Linked DNA regions of Saccharomyces cerevisiae S288C. Changing the gene in region 2 together with the main gene of any one other region gives a genetic interaction. Each region holds a gene or a part of one and is shown on either strand. Other genes may lie near its edges.

Region 1 (8,903 bases), on a different chromosome or scaffold from region 2:
TATAATAATGAGGTAACATGCTGACAATCTCCCAGTACAACTAGGTCTACAAATTTCAAAGAGTCTAGCACATTCTTAGGCGGCATACTGGTGTTTAAATATAACACAATACCCCTGTTTGCATGGACTTTGGCCGCAAACTGCCTGCAAATATTTTTCACTCCGGGAATCTTCAAACTCGTTCCAACAATAATCAAACAATCAATTCTTTTCTTTAAGTCATTATTGGCAATTTCACCGATAAAATCACCTTCAGGGTGGACCTCATTGTATAAAATTACTCTTGGACGCAACTTGCCCACACCAGTAGATCTTAAGCCTGCCATTTTTCTAACTGTTTCATATTCTTCACATTGTGGACATGACGGTATGATTTCAGTCCGAGAATCAAATTTGTCGTCGCATTTGAACAGTTCAGGGTCAAAAGGTTTGATATTCAGACATTTATTGCATTCCATGTGTTTTATGCTTCCGTGTAATTGTACTGTACTGGGTATTGGCTTCGCCAGAGGCACATTAGTTGATAAATGAGGTAATTGTGTATCTAAACCGTCAATATTCTGCGTGTACAGTCTCAATAGCCTGCCATCCCTAGCAAACTCATTGAGCATTTCATGAAATTTTGTAGGTTGGCAATTCTTGGATAATCTGAACAATGACACCATTAACTGATTAAATTTCAAACTCATTGATTCGTCGCCATACACACGATTGTAGTCAAACAAATCTTTCCCAGAGCCGCCGTTCACAGTAGAGAAAATCCCTTCACTGGATCTAAAATCCGGTATACCAGCGGCAACAGATATACCTGCCCCGCTGACTACAACCATTCTTTTGCTATAATTCAGAGCATAGCTAATAAAACCGGCGTCGCGGTCCATATGATGGCGTTGGGATTTGGACAAGTGTGTCGAATCCACGTACGCATCCAGATCAAACACAGAGTTTAACTCAGGCCTATATGACAGTCTAGGTTTCCTGTTACGGACACTTTTTTTCAATTGCGGTAGCAATCTTCTAGGCTTCAAATTCTCATTGCAACGGTTTTCTGTTTGAGGCTTCTTTTCCGCCGTACTTGGTGGGGTGATCGGTAGTACAAATTTTTGCTTCATTTTGTGGTTCTGCTTAGTATTATTTACAGTTTTAAAATACAGTTGTTGCTCTAAAGTATGTAATTCCTAAGCTTTTCCACAACCTTGCTTGCTAAATATTCTAACATGTCACTAAAGTTGCTGTTTTCCCCTTTTAGGAAACGTAATTGATTTTTTGCTCACGTGCTCTGCGGGTAATGGAGAGGTTTTTTAAAATTTTTCAATTTTGTTCAAGGAAGAATATGGCAAAACAAAAGATACATCGTGGTGATGAAGAAGAGATGGATTCATTTAAGAGTACGTATTGAAGGCTGTTAAGTTCTGGGCCTGAATATTTTGAACGTTAAAATAATTGAGTAAATATGGTCGCTATCAGTGAAGTCAAAGAAAATCCTGGCGTAAACAGCAGTAATTCTGGTGCAGTTACGAGAACTGCGGCACATACACATATTAAAGGTTTAGGTCTGGATGAAAGTGGTGTGGCCAAGAGGGTTGAAGGAGGGTTTGTTGGACAAATAGAAGCTCGTGAAGCGTGCGGTGTAATTGTAGATTTAATCAAGGCTAAAAAAATGTCAGGTAGAGCTATCCTATTAGCTGGTGGTCCTTCTACAGGTAAGACAGCATTGGCTCTCGCCATTTCACAAGAGTTAGGCCCAAAAGTTCCATTCTGTCCTCTTGTTGGTAGCGAATTATATTCCGTGGAGGTCAAAAAAACAGAAACCCTAATGGAAAATTTTAGAAGAGCAATTGGGTTAAGAATCAAAGAAACTAAGGAAGTTTATGAGGGTGAAGTGACAGAACTAACCCCTGAAGACGCAGAGAATCCGTTGGGCGGATATGGTAAAACTATCTCACATGTAATTGTCGGGCTCAAGTCTGCCAAGGGTACCAAGACACTAAGATTAGACCCAACGATATATGAAAGTATTCAAAGAGAAAAGGTTAGTATTGGTGATGTCATTTATATAGAGGCCAACACCGGTGCAGTTAAGCGAGTTGGCAGATCTGATGCATACGCTACTGAATTTGATTTGGAAACTGAGGAATACGTACCATTGCCAAAAGGCGAAGTGCATAAGAAAAAGGAAATTGTACAAGATGTTACCTTGCACGATTTGGATGTTGCAAACGCAAGACCACAAGGTGGTCAAGATGTCATATCAATGATGGGCCAGTTGCTCAAACCTAAGAAGACTGAAATAACCGAGAAATTAAGACAAGAGGTGAATAAAGTTGTTGCTAAATATATTGATCAAGGTGTCGCAGAACTTATTCCAGGTGTTTTGTTCATTGATGAAGTTAATATGCTAGACATTGAAATATTCACGTATTTGAACAAAGCGCTTGAATCTAATATCGCCCCCGTTGTTGTATTGGCTTCTAATAGGGGCATGACTACAGTCCGTGGCACTGAGGATGTGATATCACCACATGGTGTGCCACCTGATTTGATCGATAGATTGTTAATTGTTCGTACATTACCATATGACAAGGACGAGATCCGTACCATTATAGAGAGAAGAGCTACCGTTGAAAGATTGCAAGTAGAAAGTAGCGCATTGGACCTTTTAGCCACGATGGGTACAGAAACTTCGTTACGTTACGCTTTACAATTATTGGCACCATGTGGTATCCTAGCACAAACAAGCAATCGTAAGGAAATTGTTGTTAATGACGTTAATGAAGCCAAATTGCTGTTTTTGGATGCCAAAAGGTCAACAAAGATTTTAGAAACTTCCGCAAATTATTTGTAACAGTGAAGAAAGCCTAAAGCACATTTCATAAATAAAAATAAATATTACGCAAATCACTAAACCAAAAACATTGTATCAAAATGGGACCGTTATTTTTGAGCAAAAATTTCTATTTTTCCTTTTACTTACTACACACGCTTATTTCTTGCAGATATATAGATATATATATATATATATATATTAGTGTATCGTCATTGGGGCTAGATGCCAATTATGCATCGTTGTTGCTGCTATTACTTGCGCCAAGGCGAGAAATCTCATTTAAGAATTCAGCTGGTGTGGTAATGGCTGTGCTACCATACATGACTTTTTTGGGATTATGCAACTGGGAATGTGCCCATTCTTGGAGGTTTTGATATTCTAGGTAGTTACCGCCACCAACTACAAACACTAGTGACTTATTATAAGATTGTCTTTTTGGCTTTCTGGTATGGGAACCCCTTGTAATTTTTGGGTCGATGTATAGGTAACTGTCAGTAGTCTCCAAATTTTTTTGAGAGCTGTTTAAAGGGTCCATTATCGCATCAACAACATTTGTTATCGGGATGGTTTTCTTTTCAGGCAGTAACTTCTTAATACCTGATATTAAACTTCCTACACCTCCTTGTAATTTGCCTTCAGTTAAGCCATAGATACCGGATAATGTTAAGTTGCTTGGTTTGAAAGCGGAATCGGATCCATCTTCCAAAGATTTATTTTGTAACGACATATTTGATAATTGCATGAACTCTCTTAGCTTATAAACATATTTTAAAGCATTGATATCGTAATCGTTTTCCTTGAAATAGTTTTCCACATTTTGGACAAAATCCTTTGGTAAGCCTGTCGTTGATGTCAAGTAAAGAACAATAAACGATCTCAGTTTGTCCTCAAGATTGTTTGTCTTACCATCTTTTAGTATATCCAAAAACCTAGATCTTGTTTTGGTGCTTCCAGGGTCTTGTTCAACTTCAAAGAAAGTATCAAGACTTTTACTTTCCAATTGTGACAACAATGCAGCAAAAATATTCATATGTGTATCAATAGTATTTTTCTTAGCTGTTAACTCTGGCAGTTTCTTTACGACTTCCTGAATTTGAACCGTATCATTATTCGAGTTTGGGTCCAAATCTGATATGTTGGTAACACCAGTTTTCCTAGTAATTTCTGCGGCTTCCTCCTTGTACGTATTCAATGCCGCTTCAACGTTCTCTGCAGCTTCTGGGAATGGCAAATGAGAGTTTTCCATCCAAAAAAAATCGTTTGGCTCTATATCATATTTTTTCGTGGCTAATGGTTTTGCGGTGGTATTGTCAGTTCCGTTTTCCTTACTTTCAAGTGGAATAGTAACGGTGTTTCTTGATAATTTGAAAATATCAAAGACCATGCACTGATAAATCCACGAATGTGAAAACATGGAGGCAAAATCTATGTTTCTATCCAAAATAATCAACACTCCTCTTTCCAGAGAATCATTTCCCTGCAAAGTGGAAGTGGAGGAGGAATTGGTATTGATGACGAAATCACGTAATTTTGTACCCAGTTTCTCAGCGATGATCTCAGCAGGCCCACCCTTAGCTGCTCTTATAATGGGGATAGAATTGATCGTTAAGACAGTGTTGAATAAACCGTCCGCGATGTTGGCGCATAAGCCCGTGATTTCCTCTTCTGTGGTTTTCGGGTCATTCAATGTCAAGTATGCGTTTGAAATTTCTAGTGAGAACAGTTCCGGTTCAGTTACAATGAAGTCCAGGTATTGGTCGTAAACTTGTTTGATTTTATCAGATTTACCCGTGATGGAGACTTGTTGAGCCAAATCTTCCAGGAGGTTTCTGGGCAGAGATGAGGTAAAGTTGATGTAAAATTCAGAATACTTGTCGCTTTTCAAGTCATTGACTATAATGTCAATGTTTTCCTTTGTGGGGGAGACGAAATATATGGCAGGGACATCTGGCAAGGGAGATCTGTCTTGTTTAATCAAGGAATGAACGGTGATACCAGCTTTCAGCAGGTCATTGACTCTGAGAACAGAAGATATGGTAGCAGTGCTCTTGATGTCCAGTATCAACACCTTCCAGATGATCTCCTGCTGGTTAAAAATATCGTCTGTGATGGTGGTGATGTTGTCGTTGTTGTTCAAATCCTTATTTAAAAACAGCATTTTTAATATGGCAGAGATTTGCATATCTCTTAAACTAATGTCCTTGCGGGACGCAATTTCCTCCACAGCCATGATGTTGTGATTTTTGGTCAAAGATACTTAGCAACTGGCAATGACTATTATAAGTTATCATGTCAGGTTATTAAAGGCTGAGTTAGAATGGTGCTTCTTTTTTTTGTTTTTTTTTTGTCGTTTCTGCAATTACTGTGGTCAACGCGAAGAGGGAAACGGTGTTCTTTGGCAAAAATTGGTATGATATTTTATATAATAAATGTATATATACAAAATATGATGATGATGATAGTGACTGGAAAAAATATGTTACATAGAATTTTTGTATCTGACTACTATTACTACTAGTATTCGTGTTCTTGTTATTATTATTATTATTATTATTTTTTATTACTGTGGTGTTTCTTTCAAAGTGGATCTACCTGCCCTTAACAATTCATCGCATAATAACAAGTTGCTGGCAATACCTGTAGCACCGGTAATAGCATTTCTTAGTACGCGGTAGGAATCCCAAATACCCTCGATGGTAGGGTCGCAAGAATCACCTATGTTCAAGTCCACACCAACATATCTCGTTTCGTCAGAATCCTGAGCGTCATCCAACTCGTCCTCCACCATTGCGAGCACGTCCAATGGGTCGAATCCTGAGTTCTTCACCAAAGTCTTTGGAATTACCAGCAATGCTTCTGCGAACGCCTCAATACCTGTCTTTGTTTTACCCTTGGCACCCAACTTGTTCATGTTGGCAGATCTTAGGTATCTCGAAAGGGCGATGTAGAACGCACCAGCGCCTGGAATGATGTTTTTGTCCTTGAGAACGTTTGCCACAGCTCTGAGACCATCTCTCACCGCATCCTTTGTTTGAGCGAGGGCATAATGAGTGGAGCCCTTGATTAAGATGGTGCAAGACTTGGGGTCAGTGTTCTCTGTAACGTATGTGAATTTTTCCTCGCCTATGGTTTCTTGGTAGACCAAGCCAGAAAACCCAAGAATCTGAGGCGACAAGTCTTCCACAGAGTTCTGAGCTTCACCGCCAGTGACCAATTGCAATCTTTCCATGTTACGTCTCTTGGCCCTTCTCAAAGCCAAGATGTTGTGTTTGGCAAACACGTCTAAAGACATGGGGTCAATGCCTTTTTGGTTAATGATAACAAAACCCTTGTCTGGATCCATGCCACAAACTTCGTTTTTCAAGTCGATGATCTTCTTCAACTTGGCATCCACAAACTTCCTCTCACTAGCGGCCAACTTGTCCCTTTGGTCCGCAGAACTGTAAAAGAACCCAGAGTTAACTTCAGTCTTCTCGTATTCCAAAGATACGTTCAAAATCAAAACATACGCGTTCTTCACACGGGTGGGCATGTCAGGATGCCTACCACCGTGGTCCAATACCAAACCCTTAATAAAAGTGGTATCTTTAGGAGACAAGTGCTGCATCTGCATGATCTCAACCATGTGTAAATCCAAATTGTCAGCCTGCGCGTCGTACACGCTTAGCACCGCATCCGTTACAATGGGCGTCAAGACCTCCGTCAAGTCAGCGTCCACCTTGGTTAGCAGCGACGACCGGGCCACTTGCAGAAGGAACTCTCTATCATTGGAAAGGTTCGTCTTACTGATCTTGAATTCGTCCAAAAATTTCATGGACTCCTTCCGCGCAATCTCAAACCCATCAGTGATGATCCGCGGATGCACGCCCTCTTGAATGAAACGGTGCGCTTGTCTAAGCAATTCACCCACAAGACACACAACCGTCGTGGTCCCATCGCCCGTGATTTCATCCTGCGCGGCAGCTGCCCTAGCAATCAGTACCGCTGTAGGCGACTGGATCTGCATCTCGGTCAGCAACACTTTACCGTCCTTGGTCAGCTTGATGTTACCAGCACCATCCACAAGCATCTTTAGCGTGCCCTTAGGGCCCAAGTTGGTCTCTAGGACGGATTGTAAGCCCTCAGCAGATGTGACGTTAACCTTCAAAGCCGCATCCCTTCTCAACGATTCAGCCTTCGGATTCAACAATTGCAATGACATGCTTCTACTCTACTTATATTATAATCTTCTGCTTCTCACTGCTTCCACACCCTTAACCTTTACCTTTTCCACACACTGCACACATACACTGTTATACATAATCCTTTCCGTCTTTCGTTCGTTTCTTACCAGAATAACAACTACTAACACATCACCGAGCGAAAATTTTGCCACCAAAGCAAAACTCCCGTAAACAGTGATCCACGGCCCGTATCCATTCTGCCGCAGAACCCACACCTCTCACTCTATCGAAAAACAGCCTACTCCCAGGGTCCCCAAAATGAAAGCTCACTGCAATGGGAAACGATAATCACAACAAGGGAATGCAATTAAAGAAAGATATACGGTACACGAAAGGGAGAAGCGACGGCGTTAACCTATTTGCAAACGACCGAGTCAGACAGCTCAGGTCCAGTCACGTTAAAGTGGGTTACTTTGAGCTGAGGTGTGCGGTTGCGGGGCGTGGGTGTGCGCGCCGTTGCCATGCTTACCGTTCTCGTTGCGCTCGTTGCTCGTATTGCCTCGTCTGTTCTTGTCTCGTAGCTTTTTTATTATTTGGGTTAATCGCGTTGTTGAACAAGAAAGTATGATAGTTGTTGAACCGGCCCCTCGTCCCGTTCTATCTTTCTACGGGTGTCGTGTCTATTATTTTATTGTTTTCCTACTAAGGTTCTTTGCTATTGTTCTTTTAATTTTTGGTTTGTAGCTGACTACACGTTTCAAACCCAATCTTGGCAGCCCGGATCTTCATCACTCAGCTTTTCCCTACTTTTTTTTTTTTTCGTTTCCTTTTTCTTCTTTTCTTTTTCTATTTAAGAGAGAAGTTGGCGAACTTGAAGTACACATACACGCTCTCCCTCGCATCCCGGAGCTCGCAATCAACCACTATTACTAATCACATCCTAAATTTTGGGAAGCCTACACTACGATGGACACTGTCGGTACGGACGCAGCAGCCGCGAGCATTAATGAGCGTCGCTTTGCCCAGTCCACTTCACCAAAAGTTAGTGTGAAGTCACAGGACTCGCTGTTTCTGATCACTTACTCCAACATGCAGCAGACAGTGGTACAAGCGTCTTTGGCGGACCGGTACCCTTCGCTAAAGAAGCTTAACATCCTACTTTACATAGATATCCCTACGATCGACTACTACAACGATGAGATGACTCATAACAAGCTTTCCAGACTGAATAAACGGTTTAAGCTGCATCGGCTTAGAAATTCGATCGCGCAAAGTTTTTCCAACACATCTACTGCGGAAGATAACGATAAGTTTTGGGAGGAGTTGAAAAGTCTGATCAGCTCTCGCAGCACACCGGAAAACAAGTTTGATCTGAATGTACTGGTGTCGTCTTCGGGGTCTTTACGTTACGTGGAGACCATAAGATTTTTGGTTGAAAAATTGTTTAATTCTTTCAAAGACTTGTATGTTCAAAAGAAACTAAACCTATGTTTCCAGATCAACGTTTCTCCCACCTCTCTCAAGTGGTTTTCTACTTTCCTGAACGCAGAACTGCTTAATTTAAAAATCATTAATTGGCAGAATATTGGTTCTTTCACTAAGACAATCCAGAACTCCAAGTCACTCCCGTTCAAAGAGTACTACACCAAGTTGAACGAGAAATTCACCGGCTCAAACCAGAGCAATGGTAGCATGCAAGACCAGACTGTCTTGGATTCCATAGTTATTGTCACGAATAGCACGGGGGTAAAAGCACTGCTGACTTTGTTGTCAGACCACCCTCTCACCAGCCTTATCTCCCAGGAATCAATAAAAGCGCTACATGAATATTCAGATGCTGTTAACGAAGATAAGGGCGACGACCAGAGCAACACAAGTTTGAAAAGAAACTCTTCGTCGTTGTTGAATTTTCA
Region 2 (6,391 bases):
AATTGGGCTAAATGGACGCTCTAACACTGTGTGGTCCATGTTTGAATCTTTTAGTTATGATGGTAACCCCTTTCTTTTTATTTTACTGTTGATCCCTCGGATAATCAATAGGTTATCTGCCACAATATTCACGTTCTTTTGCACTCTATTGTCCCTGCATTCGATAAGTGGTGGCGGTAATTCAGGAAAACCCAAGATCTCCAAGGTTCCAAAGGCACCAACCAGAGAAACCCATATCCCACTTGCAGAAATACTGGGTGACACGAAGGACAAGGATGCATTTTGCGAACTAAAAAGCTTTAAACCAGACATTTCCTTCAATGAGGCCTTGCGTATTGCAAAAGAAGAGTTTAAGTTTATGTTGCTCATCCTAGTGGGCGACACCTACGATACCGATACTGATACCGTAGATGTTAATTCTAAACTACTATTGGAAAAGATTTTGTTAAACAAGAAGACTTTACAGTACTTGCGCAAGATTGATAACGACCTGATTATCTATTTGAAATGCGTACACGAGTTGGAACCTTGGCTGGTTGCTCGCCAACTAGGTGTCAGAAACACCCCGGAGATATTCCTCATTGCCAACGTGGCTAATAAGGCTTCCCATTCAGAAACTTTGCCCTCACAAAGACTCTCCATTCTCGGCAAGCTAAAGGTCAATTCACTGAACAGATTCTTGCAGTCGTTAACAAACGTGGTGGAAAAGTACACTCCAGAATTAGTTGTTAATAAAACTGAAATGCACGAGCTACGCATGTCAAGAGAAATAAAAAAACTGCAGGAGGATGCGTACAAAAAGTCGCTAGAAATGGACAGAATCAAAGCTATAGAAAAGGAAAAGAGCTTGAAACACGCTCAGGATTTGAAATTAAACTCAACTGCTCGGCAATTAAAATGGTTAAAGGCTTGCATCGATGAGATACAGCCGTTCGAGACAACGGGGAAGCAAGCTACTCTGCAATTTAGGACTTCTAGTGGCAAAAGATTCGTCAAGAAGTTCCCCTCCATGACTACACTTTACCAAATCTACCAATCCATTGGGTGTCACATATACCTCGCGGTATATTCTAGTGACCCCGCAGAATGGTCTAACGCCCTCCAGGACAAAATCAGGCAATTATCTGCAGACGACGATATGCTCTGCTTTAAAGAAGGACAACTCGAAACTGCTACTGCTACCACTATCGAAGAGCTCGGCCACATCATCAACAACGAGCTTACCTCATTTGATCTCGAACGTGGTAAACTTGAATTCGACTTTGAATTGGTATCGCCCTTCCCTAAGTATACTGTGCATCCTAACGAGCACATGTCGGTGGACCAAGTGCCCCAGCTATGGCCAAATGGCAGTCTTCTAGTGGAAGCACTGGATGAAGAAGATGAAGAAGATGAGGAAAATGAAGAACAATGATAAAATAGCATATCGTTAAAAACGACAAACGCGTACAAAGAGTTTCTGGAGTTTACTTTTTTTTCATTTTTCGTTTTTACTCTTTCGTCTCCCTAATGATTTTGGCCAACCGTTGGTTGTTACGTGTTATATGTTTGTTTTAGGAGCTGGGGCCTACCTTTATAGTTAGTTGTATAACTCAGTTGATCTCATAAGTGAAAAGCAAAAAAAGGATGCAGGTGTTACAGTTATGGTTGACAACTTTGATCTCTTTGGTGGTGGCAGTGCAGGGATTACATTTCGACATTGCAGCATCTACAGATCCAGAACAGGTTTGTATTCGTGATTTTGTCACTGAAGGTCAATTGGTTGTCGCGGATATTCACTCAGATGGTTCTGTTGGTGATGGACAGAAACTAAACCTCTTCGTGCGTGATTCAGTTGGAAACGAGTATCGTAGAAAGAGGGACTTTGCAGGCGACGTTCGTGTTGCGTTTACTGCTCCATCCTCCACGGCATTCGACGTTTGTTTTGAAAATCAGGCTCAGTATCGTGGCCGTTCTTTAAGCAGGGCCATTGAATTGGACATTGAGAGTGGTGCTGAAGCTCGTGACTGGAACAAGATCAGTGCCAACGAAAAATTGAAACCTATAGAAGTGGAGTTGCGTAGAGTGGAGGAAATTACCGACGAAATTGTCGACGAATTGACTTACTTGAAAAACAGAGAGGAGAGATTAAGAGACACCAATGAATCTACCAACAGAAGGGTAAGAAATTTCTCAATTTTGGTTATTATTGTCTTGTCCTCGCTGGGTGTTTGGCAAGTCAACTATTTGAAGAACTACTTCAAAACGAAACATATCATTTAAGCAAAGGAAGAGGACCACACCATGCATTTGTGTATCAGCTTACCCTATAATTGCATATGTACTCGACTATTTTCTACATATATATGAATAGATTCCAGAACCGAATAAAGGAGAAAAAATATTTGAATATGGATTTGTTCGCTTCACATCTTTAAGTAACCTAGTTTTCCCAATACGCAACCAAAGTCCAAGTATGTCATGAAAAGCCTCTTGCCATCAGTAGCACAACTAATCATTTCAATGGTCCCAGAACTTTGGTCAGCCCCGATGAGATTGGAGATTTTTTGAAGGTCTTTTACGCTTAATACATGATCTCTTAAGGCCACTTGCGGGAAATCCACGTCTCTGCCACAGTTTCTAATAAGCATCGACCATAAATCATCTATTACTGTTAAATTATTCATCAGTATCAGTAACTGGCATGTGCATCGTACCAGTTTCGTGAAATCTATTACGTCAGTTCCTTCTATAATGACGTCTTCATTTCTCACCAGTTTCCAAATTGTGGGCTCTAGTTGCAAATCCTTGAAGAACCTTGGTAGTTCATTAACGGTCATATCATGGTCCAGACTGGATTCCGCATATTTTTCCAGAATTTCATCTTCAACTTCGATAGGTACTTTCGGGTTCTCGAATAGCTCTACTCTTTCATAACTAACGTTAGTGGATTTGCTCATTGAAAAAAAACTCGGAAGGTATTTAGGTGACCTTGCGGCTTCTTAATGCTGACACCTGCATGCGTAATTGTTATTATATATATATATGATAGTATATTTCATACTTGTTCCTTCTAAAGGTGACCCGCCTGATATGCGACATAGAAAAAAATTTGGATGAACATGTTCAAAGATTGGTAGCATTGACAAGAACCATTCATACAAGTAGGTAACAGCAGAAGGAAAGAGGAACGGGTGTTGTGATAATTATGAGTGACAACTCGGACACAAACGTGAGCATGCAGGACCATGATCAACAATTTGCTGATCCCGTAGTGGTTCCGCAGTCAACTGACACTAAAGATGAAAATACTAGTGACAAAGATACTGTTGATAGTGGCAATGTGACCACAACGGAAAGTACAGAACGTGCAGAAAGTACAAGCAATATTCCCCCTTTAGATGGGGAAGAAAAAGAAGCAAAATCTGAGCCACAGCAACCTGAGGATAATGCAGAAACGGCGGCCACAGAGCAGGTTTCATCTAGTAACGGGCCTGCTACAGATGATGCCCAAGCAACTTTGAATACGGATTCATCCGAAGCAAATGAAATTGTCAAGAAGGAAGAGGGCTCTGATGAAAGGAAGAGACCTCGCGAAGAGGACACCAAAAACAGTGATGGTGATACCAAAGATGAGGGCGATAACAAAGATGAAGACGATGATGAAGACGACGATGACGATGATGATGATGAGGACGATGACGATGAAGCCCCAACTAAAAGGCGTCGTCAGGAGAGGAACAGATTCTTGGATATTGAAGCTGAGGTTAGTGATGATGAAGATGAAGATGAAGATGAAGAGGATTCAGAGTTGGTTCGTGAAGGTTTCATTACCCATGGTGATGATGAAGATGACGAAGCAAGTGCTCCAGGCGCAAGAAGAGACGATAGATTACATAGACAACTGGACCAAGATTTGAACAAGACTTCAGAAGAAGACGCTCAAAGGTTAGCGAAAGAATTAAGGGAGCGTTACGGTAGAAGCAGCTCCAAGCAATACCGTGCTGCTGCTCAAGATGGTTACGTGCCCCAGAGGTTTCTCCTACCAAGTGTTGATACAGCTACCATTTGGGGTGTGCGCTGCAGACCAGGTAAAGAAAAGGAATTGATTCGTAAGTTATTAAAAAAAAAATTCAATTTGGATAGGGCGATGGGTAAGAAAAAACTGAAAATTTTATCCATTTTCCAAAGGGATAATTACACAGGAAGAATCTATATCGAAGCCCCTAAGCAATCCGTTATTGAAAAATTTTGTAATGGTGTTCCAGATATTTATATTTCTCAAAAATTGCTAATTCCTGTCCAAGAATTACCTCTATTACTAAAACCAAACAAATCTGATGATGTTGCTTTGGAAGAAGGTAGCTACGTTCGTATTAAGAGAGGGATCTATAAGGGTGACTTAGCTATGGTCGACCAAATTAGTGAGAATAATTTAGAAGTTATGCTGAAAATTGTTCCTCGTCTGGATTATGGTAAATTCGACGAAATTGATCCAACAACACAGCAACGTAAATCCAGAAGACCAACTTTTGCTCATAGAGCACCACCGCAATTATTTAATCCAACAATGGCTCTAAGATTAGACCAAGCTAACCTGTACAAAAGGGATGATCGCCACTTTACTTATAAGAATGAAGATTATATCGATGGTTATCTGTATAAGTCCTTCAGAATTCAACATGTGGAAACCAAAAATATTCAGCCAACTGTGGAGGAATTGGCAAGATTCGGTTCCAAAGAGGGCGCGGTAGATCTAACATCAGTTTCACAATCAATCAAGAAGGCTCAAGCTGCAAAGGTCACTTTCCAGCCAGGTGATCGTATCGAAGTTCTAAATGGTGAACAACGTGGTTCCAAGGGTATTGTAACAAGAACCACGAAAGATATTGCTACTATCAAACTAAATGGCTTTACAACGCCTCTAGAATTTCCTATCTCTACTCTGAGGAAAATTTTCGAACCTGGTGATCACGTTACTGTCATCAATGGTGAACATCAAGGTGATGCTGGTTTAGTTCTTATGGTAGAGCAAGGTCAAGTGACATTTATGTCAACTCAAACAAGCAGAGAAGTTACCATTACAGCAAATAATCTGTCCAAATCCATCGACACTACAGCTACATCAAGTGAATATGCGCTACATGACATAGTCGAATTGAGTGCTAAAAATGTTGCTTGTATTATTCAAGCTGGCCACGATATCTTCAAGGTTATTGATGAAACTGGTAAAGTGTCGACAATTACGAAGGGGTCTATCTTGAGTAAAATAAATACTGCTCGTGCACGCGTTTCTAGTGTCGATGCAAATGGTAATGAAATCAAAATTGGTGATACCATAGTAGAGAAAGTAGGTTCACGCAGAGAAGGTCAGGTCCTGTACATACAAACACAACAAATTTTTGTTGTTTCAAAGAAGATTGTTGAAAATGCAGGGGTTTTTGTTGTTAACCCTAGTAACGTTGAGGCCGTGGCATCCAAGGACAATATGTTAAGTAACAAAATGGATCTAAGTAAAATGAATCCAGAAATCATTTCTAAAATGGGACCTCCATCATCTAAGACATTCCAACAACCCATCCAGTCCAGAGGAGGTCGTGAAGTTGCACTCGGCAAAACAGTAAGAATTCGTTCTGCTGGTTACAAGGGTCAATTAGGTATTGTGAAAGATGTGAATGGTGATAAAGCTACTGTCGAATTACACTCGAAGAACAAACACATTACAATTGACAAGCATAAGTTAACATATTACAACCGTGAGGGAGGTGAAGGTATCACGTATGATGAATTGGTTAATAGACGTGGTAGAGTTCCACAGGCCAGAATGGGCCCAAGTTACGTCAGTGCCCCAAGAAACATGGCCACTGGCGGTATTGCAGCAGGTGCTGCGGCTACCTCTTCTGGTCTTAGCGGTGGTATGACACCAGGATGGAGCTCCTTCGATGGTGGCAAAACACCAGCTGTAAATGCGCATGGAGGCTCAGGTGGTGGCGGTGTCTCCTCATGGGGTGGTGCTTCCACTTGGGGTGGCCAAGGTAATGGAGGTGCATCCGCTTGGGGCGGTGCTGGCGGCGGTGCCTCAGCTTGGGGCGGCCAAGGTACTGGTGCTACTTCTACTTGGGGTGGTGCTTCAGCCTGGGGTAACAAATCAAGTTGGGGCGGTGCATCCACTTGGGCGTCGGGTGGTGAATCTAATGGTGCCATGTCTACTTGGGGTGGTACCGGTGATAGGTCAGCCTACGGCGGGGCTTCCACCTGGGGAGGAAATAACAATAATAAAAGTACAAGAGATGGCGGAGCTTCTGCATGGGGTAACCAAGACGATGGAAATAGGTCTGCTTGGAACAACCAAGGAAATAAGTCAAACTATGGTGGTAACAGTACATGGGGAGGTCATTAATCACCAAAAGGA
Region 3 (7,835 bases), on a different chromosome or scaffold from region 2:
TCGTCTTCTTGAAAATCTTGGTGCATGTTGTGTTCAAAAACGGTGACCACAATGAAAGAGGAGGTAAAAAGAGTAATTATCTTGAAATCGATTTTCACTTTCTTATATAATTCATCAACACGAGAACCTTTCTATATACTGGTGGTATCATGTAAAGAATTGTTTTACCATAGTGGCCCATTTGTCAATTCGTCTTGAGTGATGTTTCATTATCAATCGGTTGCTATGCCAACGAAAATACTATGTCAGACTCTCTTGATGTATATAATGAATGGCAAAGTACATAGAAATAGATAAAAGTTGTTATTGTGAGTCGGAGGGGCTGTTTGTTTGTCCTACTCGTTGGCCGCGGCCTTGAAATTGGTTCAAATTCGATGGGCCACTTCTTAATTGACTTCCAGAAGCTCTGCCTGAATCTGTGCCACTGGTTTGAGACAATGTTGCAGGGGCCGTACCCAATCGTTGACCTCTTCCACTAAAAGTTCTCGTTTCTCTTTGCGAAGATGGCACATTGGCAAAGTTGTTGTTGAATGTTGCAGTTTCATTGTGGGCACCCGTTATGCGAGCATATAGACTAGTAAACCACCATGGCGTTGAGAATTTCCCATTGGGCGAGATTCCGTAGGTTGGATCAGCTTTTCTGGATATCATCCCCCATATTGGCCCCAGTGTATGGGTATCTAAGCATGTATAAAGGTACCCTGTAGTAAAACCGATCAATGAGATTACGAAATCACCCTCATTAAAAACGAAAGAGATAAACAATTGAATTAAGGGGAAGTACTTCCCCCAAACAGGAATCAAACCATAAAACATGATCTGCACGTTGGCATTGTCGATCGACCAAGTATATGTAATGCATGATATGAACCCAGAGGTGAGCACAACAGGGTAGTAGGACCCATAAATGATTGTAGTGGCCGTAGTGATGGCTAGTATACAAAAGCACAGGTAGTAGGCATAGTCTACTGTTACCATCGGTCCTCGTCTATTGGACAAACCGGGACCAAAATGCCCTCGCTCCAACTGTGAGGACCTGTCATAAATACTATATAGTTCCATTAGCGCAGGCATGGCACGAGACGAAAGCATTACACAAGAAGTAAGAAGTCTCCATATCTGAACCTTCTTGAACGTCAAATTCCAAACATAAATAAAGTACCACGGATTGATTAGATTCAACCGGCCGACGATCGTCATAACGATCGCTAGAGTAAATAAAGTTCTTGTTATTGGGGGGATATTTAACCAGAATTCTTTTGGGCCCATCACATCATTATTACGGCCTCCATTTCCATGTAATGTACGCACATTCCTTGGGCCTGCCATTATTTCCTCGAAAATAGTTTTTGATTTGACTTGGAAATGCGGAATTCACTGGTAATTTGTTGTATTTTGCCTTATATCCTTTGTTTGATACTCTTGTCTTATATTGAAGAGGACACGATTTCATGAGCCGCGAACGGGTAAGTAGGGACTTTTCACATTTGAAATTTTTCAAATGTGATGAGGATCGATTCTGCAAAGCAGCAGATAATAGCAGATAAAAAATAGAGAGTTGCAATATTCAAGTTCCTGGTAGCTGCTCGAATCAAGAGGGGTGAATTAAAGGTTTTCGATTTTTGCTATGGCTGTTCACACCAATAGGCAAATCCTTACAAGAGGCAAAAACTATGCTACAAAGCAATCAAAGAAATTCGGTACCGATGAGGTGACGTTCGACAAGGATTCTCGTTTGGATTATCTGACTGGCTTTCACAAGAGAAAGCTTCAAAGACAAAAGAAAGCACAAGAGTTTATTAAGGAGCAGGAAAGGCTTAGAAAAATTGAAGAAAGACAGAAGATTCGGCAGGAACGTAAGGAGGTGATGGAAGAACAGTTAAAGACGTTTAAAGAGAGTTTAAACTTGGAAGCTGAGATAGAGGATGCGAAAAATGATAAGACGGAGGATTTGCAGGTAGAATCTGATGAATCCTGGCACGGGTTTGATTCTGATAAAGATGACGGCGATAACGACAATAATGAAAGTAGCGTAAAGCCTATTTTGAAGAAAGGAGCAATCACGGAAATATACGATGACTCAACTACTGTTGAATTGGAGACATTGGAACCCAATGATAACTTTGAATATTTAGCCCAGCTAAATAATGTCAAATTAGAAAAGGCAGAAAAAGTACTCAAACAAAGCATAAATAGAGCCACCAAATACGCGAAGTTTCTGGGCGTGGATGAGAAACAAAAGAAGAAGCCAAGAGTAAAAAAGTTCAGATATTTGACCAAAAATGAACGAAGAATAAACCAAAGAAAGGCAAACGACAACAAGCGTAGGAGATAATGCAGTCGCATTATCGTCGGGCACCGCCTGGGGTTTCTTGACGCTCAAACAGTGTTTGATTTTTTTTTGGAAAAGTATATACTGTGCATATGTATTTTTCGTTTATTATATGTAATATATCGAATAAACCATTCTACGGGGAAAATAGAACAAATATTTACAGCATTTGCATGATTTTATATGGCTTGCCCAACAAATTATTTGCTTGCAAACTTAATATAATACTCTGCGTCCAATTTGAAAACGACCCATATGCCTCTTCTAATTACTTCGAAATACTGCATTTCGCCTTGGAAAAAAATGTAGTCGCTATCTGCGGCAACTAATTTCAGATTCTGCGATAAATATACCCATAGCCACCAGAACCTCAGCAAAAAGTCAACGAGAATCGCCGAATGATACATTTTTTTCTTTAATGTGACGGCACTTTTGGATCTGGATCTTAAAGAGGTTAACGAGTCCAATGACCAATCCATCCTTACATCCCAAAATAACGTATAGGAAGAATTAATTAGCATAAACCATCTTTGAACGTGGTGTAGTCTTTCTTCGTTGATGGATCCCTCATACACTCTTGATCTCCAGGTGCAAAAAAGAATGGGAAGATTACAACTGTATTTCAATGCATTGAATAGTAAAGTTGCTTCGTGCAGTAAACGGTATTCTCTCAAACACTGCAGTAGTCTTACCAGTACAGGAAGAAGGGCTACGGATAGATCAAAATGTGTGAAGGGTTCTCTAAAAATTAGAGAGGTAAACAATGTGAAGTCTATCAATGGTTTTGCAAACGATGTCAACGTGTCAGAGATTAAAATGTAGGTATTCCTTAAGGAACGGGGGGAGGATTCTATCAACAAACATCTCCTAGTACAATATTTTATTATCTGGCACTCTTTCAACAGAAACCAAAATATAGTGACACATTGGATCAATGGTAGAAAATATACGATGAGAATGATATTTTTGAGTGGACCTTCTATAATATTCATGAACTCAAAAAGGAACACAGTGGCAAAGTGGAACGGTATAATAATCCTTGTTATCTTCAAAGCAAAATTTCTAGCTGTTCTATGCAATTGCTGTAGAGTATAACCTGGACGTATATCGTGCGGTACTCTCGTGAGTATGACTTGGGATACGTCTAAATTACTATGCAAGAAGAATTTTAATATCCATGTCCAGATCCAAAGGGCAAGTATTATGAGCACAATAAATCGCTGCGGAGGGGGAACATTTAATATATTTTGGAGATAAAGTCCTTCAGAATTACTTTCGCTTTTCTCCATATTTTGCGGCCCAACTTGTTGCAGAATTGAAAACTTTGTATAATACTAATAATAATTTATAATAATAACAATAATAATTTATAACAATAATAACAATGCCAAACAATTTATATGGGTAACCAGTTTTTGGTACTGTTTGCCATCAATATTGCGACTAAATCGGGAGCGGTTAGCGCTGGCTTGCACTTTTTGCAACTGACTCTATTTCTTTCATTGATTATGTTATTTTCAGATGACGAAATACGCCAAAAAAATTCGGGAAATAAATACTAGCGTGATATCGGTTTAGGTATATTACAAAAGAACACCAAGGTAAGGCATCATTAGTTATGTATGCATATTACTGACTTTTACCAAGCGGACCATGACCCGAGTTCAATGATTACCCCTAATACAATTTTTGTGTGTTCCGCCATATGAGCGAGACTTAATCTGTCCAAAGTATCCATGGTGCTGTGAATATACTTGTTAGTCTTTTTGAACTCACTTTCAATCACGAAGGAGCCTGGAAATCCGTTTCTGGTGGCACTCCCATGATCGCTACAAGCATAGCCACATTGTGTATCCCTGTAAGGAATGGATAGATAAGAGTTGATAATTAGTTTTATAAAATCAGTTAATGCGGGAGTAGTGTAGTCGGTGACAATCCCCACATGTTCATCTTCTGGATCAGAAACATATCCCGTCATGTCTTGCTGAAGCATCGCTCTCACATGCTTTTTCTGTTTGGCATAAGCTGTAAAAACATCAAGAGAACCCAACAATCCCCCCTCTTCGGCGGAATAAAAGTGAAATTCCACAGTGTTGTTAGGTCTAAATCCTCTCTTCAAAAAATTTTCCGTATATAATCTGAGAGCCTCCATATTAGTCACCGTGCCTGACCCATTGTCGTCCGCACCTGGAGCTGCCATTATGGATGGCAGTAGCAGATTGATAGAATCTTGATGAGAACCAATTATTATAATATCTTCTGGCGTAGTAGATCCCGTGACACGGACTATAATTGAATATTGCTTCCATTCTTTGTGATCAAAATGTTCAATAGTCAACGTATCTTGCGGAATATCTTTTGTAATATTAGCGATAGTTGCAGCTAACCACTCGGCAGATTCAAAGCCGTGATCGGACTTGTAGTAACGGGTGTAAAAACTTGTAAACTTTGCCAAGTTCTTGTGCATAGAGCCCTTGTCTATATTCTTAATCGAATCATCCACTACTTCTTTGTTCGATATCTCAGGAGGATAGTTATACGTTGGTACTGTTGGCTCTTCCTCCTTGTTAAAGAAAGGTAAGAAAGAAGTGTGTTTGGTCACATCAAAGAATTTGACACCTCTTCTTCGTAAGTTTAGCTTTTCTGATTCGGGAACCTCCATTACCTCATTCTCTCCTACTTGTAAAACCCTTAAAGGCTCATATGGATATGACCATGCGATGATGGCAACATTAAATAAAACAAAAAGCGACTGTATCCTCATATTGTGCTAATCAGCGGTTGATTATGTTACTTACTTTTTCGAATAAAGATTTTGTATTTCTTTAGCTTCGAAGATTGATAATTATTGAATATCAAGTTTCAGTTTACTATAGCGGTCCGAACATATGAAAGATTTTAGTAAAGACGCTGGCAAGCTTTTCAGTCAAAATAATACAAAAGGAAATAGATAGAAAAAAAGGAAATAATCAGGCCTCCATATTGGACTCAACTATCCTTCAGTACCGCAAAACTTATTGTGTCCATATATCCTATGTCAGCATACATCGCAATGAAAGGAGTAATAACAAACGTCGATGAGAACATAAGAAATGATGAAGATGTGGCTTTTGAGTACGAAATACAAAAGACACCGCAGAACATACTTACATGGAAAAGATATATCGAGTATTGGAAAGAGGAGGGAAGAACTGACAAACAGATTAGGTGGCTATATGAAAGATTTTGTTCACAATTTGTAACAGATACAAGTATATGGGAAGATTATATACGCTGGGAATCAACAAAGGAAGTAGTCGAAACTTCACGTATTTTCTGGCTTTTTCAAAGGTGCCTGAAAAGCTGTGTACGAGATTGTGACAGGATATGTTTGTCTTATTTAGAATTGGCAATTGAACAATATGACTTGGCAATGATAAGGCATGCCTTAGCTTCATCTTTAATGAAAATGGAGAGAGAAATGCATCGGAAAGTTTGGGATCCTGTCATAAAATTTGTGGAAGAAAAAGTTTTACCATTAACGCAACTGGATTCAACTCAAGAAGATGAAGAAGAAAGTACTGATGAAGCTGAATTGATAAATGTACTTTTAGTGAAGGGTTTCACGAAGGGAGGTTTTATTAGCGAGGAAATTAGTGAAAACGGAAGTAGAGGTGATATTTGGTCGTCACATATTTTAGAAAGATACTTAAAAGTGGCTCCTCAGCAAAAACGAAATGAATCGCTGGCAACTCTTGCATTAACTAGAGACAATATTACCATCAAATCAGTATATGAAAAGTATTTGCCACAAGATGAAAATAGTGGGAAGTATCTACCTAGTTCAGAACTGCCTTTTGAATTAAATTTCAATTATTTGGCCAGCCTAGAAAAACTAGGTTTAGATAATCAATATGAGGAGTTCATGAGGCAAATGAATGGCATATATCCCGACAAATGGCTTTTTTTGATCCTATCACTTGCCAAATATTATATCTCTCGCGGGAGGCTTGACAGTTGTGGTGATTTATTGAAGAAAAGTTTACAGCAAACACTTAGGTACAGTGATTTTGATCGCATCTATAATTTCTATTTGCTATTTGAGCAAGAGTGCTCCCAATTTATTCTGGGAAAGCTAAAGGAAAATGACAGCAAATTCTTTAATCAAAAAGATTGGACTGAAAAGTTACAAGCTCATATGGCGACATTTGAATCTTTAATCAACTTATATGATATCTATTTGAACGATGTCGCACTAAGGCAAGATTCCAACTTGGTGGAAACGTGGATGAAAAGAGTGTCCTTGCAGAAGTCAGCAGCGGAAAAGTGTAATGTGTATTCAGAAGCTATACTGAAAATTGATCCCCGAAAAGTTGGTACGCCTGGCTCTTTCGGTAGGCTTTGGTGTTCGTATGGGGATTTGTATTGGAGATCAAACGCAATTAGTACAGCTAGAGAATTGTGGACACAATCTCTGAAGGTACCGTATCCTTATATAGAAGATCTGGAAGAAATTTACCTAAACTGGGCTGATAGAGAATTAGATAAAGAAGGGGTGGAAAGAGCTTTTTCTATCCTTGAAGATGCATTACATGTGCCAACAAATCCAGAAATTCTCCTCGAAAAATATAAGAATGGACACAGAAAAATACCTGCTCAAACTGTTCTATTCAACTCATTACGTATTTGGTCCAAATACATTGATTATCTAGAGGCTTACTGCCCAAAGGATGCAAATTCCTCCGATAAAATATTCAATAAGACAAAAATGGCATACAATACTGTTATTGATTTGAGATTGATCACTCCAGCAATGGCAGAAAATTTTGCATTGTTCTTACAAAATCATTACGAAGTCATGGAAAGTTTTCAGGTGTATGAGAAAACAATCCCTCTGTTTCCCCCCGAAATCCAATACGAATTATGGATTGAGTATCTAGAAGTAGCGACATCACATCAATTGTCATCACTGAGTCCTGAACATATTAGATTTTTGTTTGAGAAAGCACTTAAGAATCTATGTTCAAATGGTATAGACTGTAAAACAATTTTTATCGCTTATAGCGTATTTGAAGAAAGGATAAGTGGTCTGATTAGCAAGAGTATTGAGATATTACGTAGAGGTGCTGTAATAGGTACTGTTAGTGTGAGCACGCACCTCGAAAGTAGACTGCAACTGTGGAGAATGTGTATTTCCAAGGCCGAGTCTACTTTGGGACCATCAGTAACCAGAGAGTTGTACCAAGAATGCATTCAAATTTTACCAAACTCTAAAGCTGTTGAGTTTGTGATTAAATTTTCAGATTTCGAGAGCTCTATAGGAGAAACTATTCGAGCACGTGAAATCCTTGCCTATGGTGCAAAGCTTCTTCCTCCATCCAGAAATACTGAATTATGGGATAGCTTTGAAATTTTTGAGTTAAAACATGGGGATAAGGAAACTTACAAAGACATGTTGAAGATGAAGAAGGTGTTGGAATCCAACATGCTCATTGATTCAGCTAGCGTTAGCCATGAGGAAGGT
Region 4 (8,228 bases), on a different chromosome or scaffold from region 2:
TTGTGGTGACATGTGTAGGCAAAGACAAAAATTGGAAGAGTGTTTAGCACGTTCAAATCATGCGATTGTGGTGGCAGGAGGTAGGAGATCCGGCCTTTCAAGCGAAGAATCTCATCTGATGGTGCTACATAGTGCAACAACACCAAAACACACAAGTACGCTACAGAAGAGATGGCCACCATGGAAGCGTACCTCAACGAATTCAACTTCTTCAGAAAAGACAGCGGGGCCACGAAAAAAAGCATGATCAGTGAAATTTGCACGTTCCTGTTCAACAGCCAAGCATTTCTGGTCCACACAGACATTATTTGGGGCATCAGATCCCCAACTACAATCATATAAGAGACGCCCACACCAAAACACTTGATAGCGATCGCTAGGTCAAACACAATACCTAGATTTGGGTTAATCAACCGCGTCAGAGCACTGAACGAGGCCCTCCCCTGTGGTACGTATTTAGCTACACGAGCTTGTATGAACAAGCTTTGCATAGCGCACGCCCCACACAGCACTATCATTATCACTCCAGGAATTAATCCAAACGGCTTGAATGCGTACGGCATGGCCAGGATACCAGCACCGCACGCCGTGTGTAAAAGTGTCAGCACACCTGATCTAATACTAGCTACCATATGATGCACGATTCCTTTCTATGGTTATTGAGCTGTGAAACTAACCCGTCGTTCGACCATTGTTGTTCTATATACTTCTAGTTGCTGTATAGATAAGCTCTCCGATCCCCTAAACGTGCGTGGTGATCTTACTCTTTCGCCCTCGCTTTTTTTTTTTCGCTTGTTGTTTTCGCAAGGTGAATAGAATGGTTTTAGTAGCAAAGTGCATTGTTTATTGTGTGGTGTGGTTTGACGCACATTCTGTGTTAATAGTGTAGCAGAAGGGTATTCTACAATCTCCGCGAACCTAAGTATGTCTGCTGTTGAAATTTCCCCTGACGTGTTGGTGTATAAGTCTCCATTAACGGAGCAATCGACAGAATACGCTAGTATTTCCAACAATTCAGACCAAACCATTGCATTTAAGGTCAAGACCACAGCCCCAAAGTTTTACTGCGTGAGACCAAACGCCGCAGTTGTTGCTCCAGGTGAAACAATCCAGGTTCAAGTTATCTTCCTGGGTTTGACTGAAGAGCCTGCCGCAGACTTTAAGTGCCGTGACAAGTTCCTGGTTATCACGTTGCCTTCTCCTTACGACCTCAATGGCAAGGCTGTTGCAGATGTTTGGTCCGACTTGGAGGCTGAGTTCAAGCAACAGGCTATCTCTAAAAAGATAAAAGTCAAATATTTGATAAGTCCAGATGTACACCCAGCACAGAACCAAAATATACAGGAAAACAAGGAAACTGTTGAACCAGTAGTCCAAGACAGTGAGCCAAAGGAAGTGCCTGCTGTGGTAAACGAAAAGGAGGTCCCTGCTGAACCGGAAACTCAACCTCCCGTCCAAGTAAAGAAAGAAGAGGTCCCACCTGTCGTTCAGAAAACCGTTCCTCATGAAAATGAGAAGCAAACGTCCAACAGCACTCCGGCCCCACAGAACCAGATAAAGGAAGCCGCAACCGTACCTGCAGAAAATGAATCATCCAGCATGGGTATATTCATATTGGTTGCACTCCTTATCTTGGTTTTAGGATGGTTCTACAGATAATAGGGAGATTGAGGATATAGCTGTATTCTAAATATATATTTATATATGTGTGTGTTTTGCCCTTTCCTTCCTTTCAGTCTTTATTTTACTTTGTTTTTCTACAATCTTTTTTTATTGTTTCCTTCTGTAGCCTTTACAATACTAGAACAAGGAACTAAAAGATCATACTTTCCTAACTTTTTTATATGTTTTATTTTTTAAATAGGAGAATAATCGATAACTATACCACTGTTGTAACATATTACTTGTTTAATTTATTCATGTTCGGTTTCCCTAGTGTAGTAGGCGCTATCTTGGGCAAATAACTATCCGTTATTAACCATAACAATGCGGGGTCTACTAAATGAGGGGAGGGTCTTGGATGCACATTAACGAAGATCTTGCGAGGGGGTCGCGCCTAAAAGGTCCATAAATAAATGAATACATAAACAGCCACCTACTTTCAGTTTGTTTTTTGCTAGGTCTCATAGTGAACGAGGGACTCACATATTGACAATATAGTAACATGGGCTTATCGCGCTGGCACGACAAGAATTCAAGGCCAGCAGAGGAAAAGAGCGAAGAAATGCAACAGGATGCGCACTACTACGCCCTTGCGGCAAGTGATAGTTTAAATGCAAGTGTTTCTAACGAATATGGTAATCAAGTAATGAACTCGTTTTGGAAAGTGGGTATAGACTCTCCCTATGTGGACGATGAAGCAATTAGAAACAGAGATGTCGAAAATAACTTACCTTCTTTAAAGCAAAGTGTTTATAATGCTAATGAACCAAATGCTACCTCGTCTGCATTTTCAACCGCTTCATACGCACATGAAACTTTCGATTTTAGAAACCTTAAACTAAGATAAGGGGGGATGAAGAATAAGAATAAACGCACGTACAATGCATATACAACCGTTTCTATGTACCATAAATATAATTATCATATAATGAAAAATGAGAATAAAAAACAATGATAACAATGAAAAAAAAAAAATTCAATTAAAGAGAAAATTAAACTTATTTTCTTAAGTAGTCCCTTAAATAACTACCGAGTTTTTCAGCACCCTGTTCTACAACGTCTCTCAACATCTGCAATTCATCATCTGCGGAGGCATTAAAATCGATGAAACCGTTATTAGAATTACGGCCATCAAAATTCCCTGCTCCACTTCCACTACTATTGATGGGATTACCAAATTCATCCACTTCTTTATCTTCTCCAAAGTATGAAGAAGAGGAAATTGATGTAGCATTGTCAAATGTTTTCAACTTGTCATGCGCTTCCCTGTTTGCTGCTTCATCAAATGAGCCACGACCAAATAATTGATCAGATGATATAGCTTTTTGTGTGCCGTACCTTTCCGCGATTCTGCCCGTATATCTTGGTCCCTGAGCTATTTTCTGAGATTCTTTTTGTTGCTTTGCCAAATCATTGGCGTCATTCATGGTCATACCAAATCCCAATTTGGCAAACTTGGGTGTTAAAGTATCTTGCTGTTCTTTTCTAGTTGTGTCGAAGCTGTTTGAAGTGTCATTTAAAAAATCATTGAATTCATCAGGCTGGGTATTAATATCATCTATACTGTTATTATTGTTGCCTTTACTGTTATTCATAAATTGGGAATCGTAATCATTTTGTCTAATTTTGGTGCTAGAAGACGAATTAGTGAACTCGTCCTCCTTTTCTTGTTGAGCCTCTTTTTTAAATTGATCAAACAAGTCTTCTGCCTGTGATTTGTCGACTTTCTTTGCGGTTAGTCTAGTGGGCTTTCTTGACGAAGACAAAATTGAATGTTTCTTTTTATCTTGCGAGTTTAATACCGGTTTCTTTCTGCTAGCCGTTAAGATGGAACTTCTCGTTTTAGTGACAGTGGTCTTGGGTGTGCTGCCTGTGGTGTTGTTTTTTGGGGCGAGAGAGCCTGTATTTACATTGAGTTTAGAACTGGAATTGGAGCTTGGTTTTTGCCAATTAGAGAAAAAATCGTCAACACTATTTTCTTTGGAAGTCGACCTGGAAGCGTCTGAATCGGTGTCCAACGGTGAGTCCGAAGAATCTTGACCGTTCAAGACTAATTCTGATGGGTATAACTCCATATCCTTTTGAACCTTCTTGTCGAGATGTATCTTATATTTCTTAGCAACAGGGCTCGTATATTTTGTTTTCGCGTCAACATTTGCTGTATTTAGTAGCTGTTTCCCATTGTTCTTTAAGAAAAAATCACGAGCCTTATGGTTCCCACCCAACTTAAACCTTCTTAAATTGTTAATTGTCCATTTATCTAATGTAGAAGACTTTACAAAGGTGATATGAACACCCATGTTTCTATGCACAGCAGAGCATTGAATACACAGCATCACACCAAAAGGTACCGAAGTCCAAGTAGGATTCTTGTTACCACAATCAAAACAAACTCGATTTTCCATGTTGCTACCTAGCTTCTGAAAAACTTGTTGAGTAGTCTGTTCCGTGGCAAATGTTTCTCCTTCATCGTTACTCATTGTCGCTATGTGTATACTAAATTGCTCAAGAAGACCGGATCAACAAGTACTTAACAAATACCCTTTCTTTGCTATCGCCTTGATCTCCTTTTATAAAATGCCAGCTAAATCGTGTTTACGAAGAATAGTTGTTTTCTTTTTTTTTTTTTTTTTTCGAAACTTTACCGTGTCGTCGAAAATGACCAAACGATGTTACTTTTCCTTTTGTGTCATAGATAATACCAATATTGAAAGTAAAATTTTAAACATTCTATAGGTGAATTGAAAAGGGCAGCTTAGAGAGTAACAGGGGAACAGCATTCGTAACATCTAGGTACTGGTATTATTTGCTGTTTTTTAAAAAAGAAGGAAATCCGTTTTGCAAGAATTGTCTGCTATTTAAGGGTATACGTGCTACGGTCCACTAATCAAAAGTGGTATCTCATTCTGAAGAAAAAGTGTAAAAGGACGATAAGGAAAGATGTCCCAACGATCTTCACAACACATTGTAGGTATTCATTATGCTGTAGGACCTAAGATTGGCGAAGGGTCTTTCGGAGTAATATTTGAGGGAGAGAACATTCTTCATTCTTGTCAAGCGCAGACCGGTAGCAAGAGGGACTCTAGTATAATAATGGCGAACGAGCCAGTCGCAATTAAATTCGAACCGCGACATTCGGACGCACCCCAGTTGCGTGACGAATTTAGAGCCTATAGGATATTGAATGGCTGCGTTGGAATTCCCCATGCTTATTATTTTGGTCAAGAAGGTATGCACAACATCTTGATTATCGATTTACTAGGGCCATCATTGGAAGATCTCTTTGAGTGGTGTGGTAGAAAATTTTCAGTGAAAACAACCTGTATGGTTGCCAAGCAAATGATTGATAGAGTTAGAGCAATTCATGATCACGACTTAATCTATCGCGATATTAAACCCGATAACTTTTTAATTTCTCAATATCAAAGAATTTCACCTGAAGGAAAAGTCATTAAATCATGTGCCTCCTCTTCTAATAATGATCCCAATTTAATATACATGGTTGACTTTGGTATGGCAAAACAATATAGAGATCCAAGAACGAAACAACATATACCATACCGTGAACGAAAATCATTGAGCGGTACCGCCAGATATATGTCTATTAATACTCATTTTGGAAGAGAACAGTCACGTAGGGATGATTTAGAATCGCTAGGTCACGTTTTTTTTTATTTCTTGAGGGGATCCTTGCCATGGCAAGGTTTGAAAGCACCAAACAACAAACTGAAGTATGAAAAGATTGGTATGACTAAACAGAAATTGAATCCTGATGATCTTTTATTGAATAATGCTATTCCTTATCAGTTTGCCACATATTTAAAATATGCACGTTCCTTGAAGTTCGACGAAGATCCGGATTATGACTATTTAATCTCGTTAATGGATGACGCTTTGAGATTAAACGACTTAAAGGATGATGGACACTATGACTGGATGGATTTGAATGGTGGTAAAGGCTGGAATATCAAGATTAATAGAAGAGCTAACTTGCATGGTTACGGAAATCCAAATCCAAGAGTCAATGGCAATACTGCAAGAAACAATGTGAATACGAATTCAAAGACACGAAATACAACGCCAGTTGCGACACCTAAGCAACAAGCTCAAAACAGTTATAACAAGGACAATTCGAAATCCAGAATTTCTTCGAACCCGCAGAGCTTTACTAAACAACAACACGTCTTGAAAAAAATCGAACCCAATAGTAAATATATTCCTGAAACACATTCAAATCTTCAACGGCCAATTAAAAGTCAAAGTCAAACGTACGACTCCATCAGTCATACACAAAATTCACCATTTGTACCATATTCAAGTTCTAAAGCTAACCCTAAAAGAAGTAATAATGAGCACAACTTACCAAACCACTACACAAACCTTGCAAATAAGAATATCAATTATCAAAGTCAACGAAATTACGAACAAGAAAATGATGCTTATTCTGATGACGAGAATGATACATTTTGTTCTAAAATATACAAATATTGTTGTTGCTGTTTTTGTTGCTGTTGATAAAGCGATTTTTATACTTTTCTCTTTTTCCTTTTTTTTTTTGATTGGCTGTTTCCTTATGCCGCTCTTTCCCAATTTATGACTTTCCAATAATGTATTATTTTGTTTCTCTTTCTCTCTGTTACCCTTTATTTTATCATCTACAATAATTGAATTCCGGAGAGGGTAAAGAAACAGGAAAAAGAAGAAAATGAGACATAGTCAGCATCGTAATCGTTTTCCTTCTGTATATTCCTTTATCAAAAGACTACACGCACATATATATTAATCCCGGTATGTTTTTGGTGTGCTAAATCTATCTTCAAGCACTATTATAGCATTTTTTTAAGAATATCCAAAATAATATGTAATTTATGATTAATCAAGGTTCAAGAATTGGAGAAACCGTGAGCGACTTCTTTGATACTTGGATGTAAGCTTTTATTTAGTTGCTTTTTCGTTTTCTTTTATTTACGCCCTTGTTTTGCGTGTATACTTTACTTTTCTAATTCACTTGAGAGCGGGACTATATATAAAAAAATGCACAATTACAAACTTGAGAATGAATGCATATCGTGAAGATTTTGATATTAAATTAAGAAGCCAAAAAAACGTAGGCAACCATAACAAATTTCGGCATTGAACTTGATTCTAAATGCTACATACAATTACGCGCGCTGTTTTGATATACACACACATATATATATATATACATTGTGTAAGAAAAATTCAAAGCTTAGTAAAACATACAGATCATGGAGAAAAAAAAAAAACCGAATACTTGTGTTACCAGAAGGATCCACTGACTGGACTTGGGTCACAATTTGAATTTTATTGATTTTCACCTTCATCAAGGAGGATGGTCGTTAGTAATAAAGGGCATTCTGAGTGACAGACAAAGAAATTATCTTCAAAGAAATGTTACTTTGATTCATTGATATGTTATTTGTTTTTATTTGAAAGCACTCAAGGAAACTAGACAACAGTAGTATCAATAGTAGATCCACTTAAATGCACATCATTTACAGAATACATCCTCTTTGTGAAGACGATATCCTCTTGGTCATCATTCAATCTACCTTCGCTAACAGTATTTGCTGAAGAACAATCCCAATTACCAGAATTTGAGAACATATCATCAGATGTTTCTGTCATACTATGGTCACTCTCATTGGATAATGATAACATAGAAGAATCAGATATTCCACTCTTCCCAGTACCATTACCATCGATTATTTTACCGGTATCGACATTGAATTGAACTTGACAAATTTGATGTAATCCCAGTTCACAAAAATTGTCAAGAGTTACTAAACTTCCATCGTTTGCCATATCAAGGAATAAAAATCCACATCCTTTTCCATTGGCCTTAGTGTCATTGCTCTTCAAGCAAATATTTTTATCACTCATACCACTCACAATAATGTTTCCACATTGGAAGACTTGCTTGGTTAATAGTAGTTCACTTTCACTATCTAGGCTAATTGAGTTAAATCCATGGACTAACTCACCATATTTCATGTTTTGTAGGTTTTGTAAATCCCAACAAATGACAAAGCCTTGGTCATCACTGCTATATAACGCGCCTGTGTTTTCGTTAAATTTTAGACTTTCAATGTATCCTTTCTTAGCATATAATTCACAAACTGGTTTACCGTCGCAGGATTGAATGTCCCAAATTTGAATTTTATCGTTCAAGCTCTGTGCAACGTGATGATTACTTATCCATACGCAATCCAAACTTGTGTTCTTTCTTTGCAAATGGTCTTTTCCACATCCTGCAGATATGCTATTATCTAAAATATCTGGAATATAGAGATTTGTTCTCAAATCAAGCAGCGAGATGCCATTTGGTCCAAATTTTGAGCCAACTAAGGCCAGTAAGAAGGGATCATGGAATTCATTAACGGCAAAAGAATTTATACCTGGATATGATTGCAAAAAAATAGGTGTTTTTATGCAATCAAGATTTGATTTCAAGTCATATATAAAGAGGGAGTCATTTAGAAGGGAAACAAAACCGGTCTTGTTCCATGGCGAAACCTTCAAAATAGGTGCTGTTTTTGGCGTTA

What was found.
Region 1: mutations in ERV25 (region 2) and SLY1 together harm fitness more than expected from each alone (negative genetic interaction), as found in Saccharomyces cerevisiae (3 studies listed by BioGRID).
Region 3: mutations in ERV25 (region 2) and ERD1 together harm fitness more than expected from each alone (negative genetic interaction), as found in Saccharomyces cerevisiae (4 studies listed by BioGRID).
Region 4: mutations in ERV25 (region 2) and GLO3 together harm fitness more than expected from each alone (negative genetic interaction), as found in Saccharomyces cerevisiae (3 studies listed by BioGRID, with this or other methods).

What each region holds. Positions count from the first base shown.
Region 1 is NC_001136.10:834,546-843,448, reverse strand, and holds SLY1 (syntaxin-binding protein), read right to left. Parts: upstream 5,058-8,903; coding exon 3,057-5,057; downstream 1-3,056. Other genes in the region: NAD-dependent histone deacetylase HST4, read right to left, coding at 1-1,112; RVB1 (RuvB family ATP-dependent DNA helicase pontin), read left to right, coding at 1,454-2,845; chaperonin-containing T-complex subunit CCT6, read right to left, coding at 5,388-7,028; SND1 (Snd1p), read left to right, coding at 7,957-8,903. UniProt on the Saccharomyces cerevisiae protein: Able to suppress the functional loss of YPT1. SLY1 is essential for cell viability. May interact indirectly, or directly with YPT1.
Region 2 is NC_001145.3:244,490-250,880, forward strand, and holds ERV25 (Erv25p), read left to right. Parts: upstream 1-1,626; coding exon 1,627-2,262; downstream 2,263-6,391. Other genes in the region: UBX2 (Ubx2p), read left to right, coding at 1-1,414; RAD33 (Rad33p), read right to left, coding at 2,406-2,939; transcription elongation factor SPT5, read left to right, coding at 3,188-6,379.
Region 3 is NC_001136.10:1,293,066-1,300,900, forward strand, and holds ERD1 (Erd1p), read right to left. Parts: upstream 3,622-7,835; coding exon 2,533-3,621; downstream 1-2,532. Other genes in the region: STE14 (protein-S-isoprenylcysteine carboxyl O-methyltransferase), read right to left, coding at 1-26; DFM1 (Dfm1p), read right to left, coding at 304-1,329; rRNA-processing protein RRP17, read left to right, coding at 1,628-2,335; YDR415C (putative aminopeptidase), read right to left, coding at 3,972-5,096; mRNA splicing protein SYF1, read left to right, coding at 5,367-7,835. UniProt on the Saccharomyces cerevisiae protein: Required for the retention of luminal endoplasmic reticulum proteins, affects glycoprotein processing in the Golgi apparatus.
Region 4 is NC_001137.3:400,211-408,438, forward strand, and holds GLO3 (ADP-ribosylation factor GTPase-activating protein), read right to left. Parts: upstream 4,143-8,228; coding exon 2,661-4,142; downstream 1-2,660. Other genes in the region: AVT6 (aspartate/glutamate transporter), read right to left, coding at 1-632; phosphatidylinositol-binding protein SCS2, read left to right, coding at 925-1,659; YER121W (uncharacterized protein), read left to right, coding at 2,165-2,509; casein kinase YCK3, read left to right, coding at 4,603-6,177; DSE1 (Dse1p), read right to left, coding at 7,132-8,228. UniProt on the Saccharomyces cerevisiae protein: GTPase-activating protein for the ADP ribosylation factor (ARF) family. Involved in retrograde vesicular transport from the Golgi to the endoplasmic reticulum.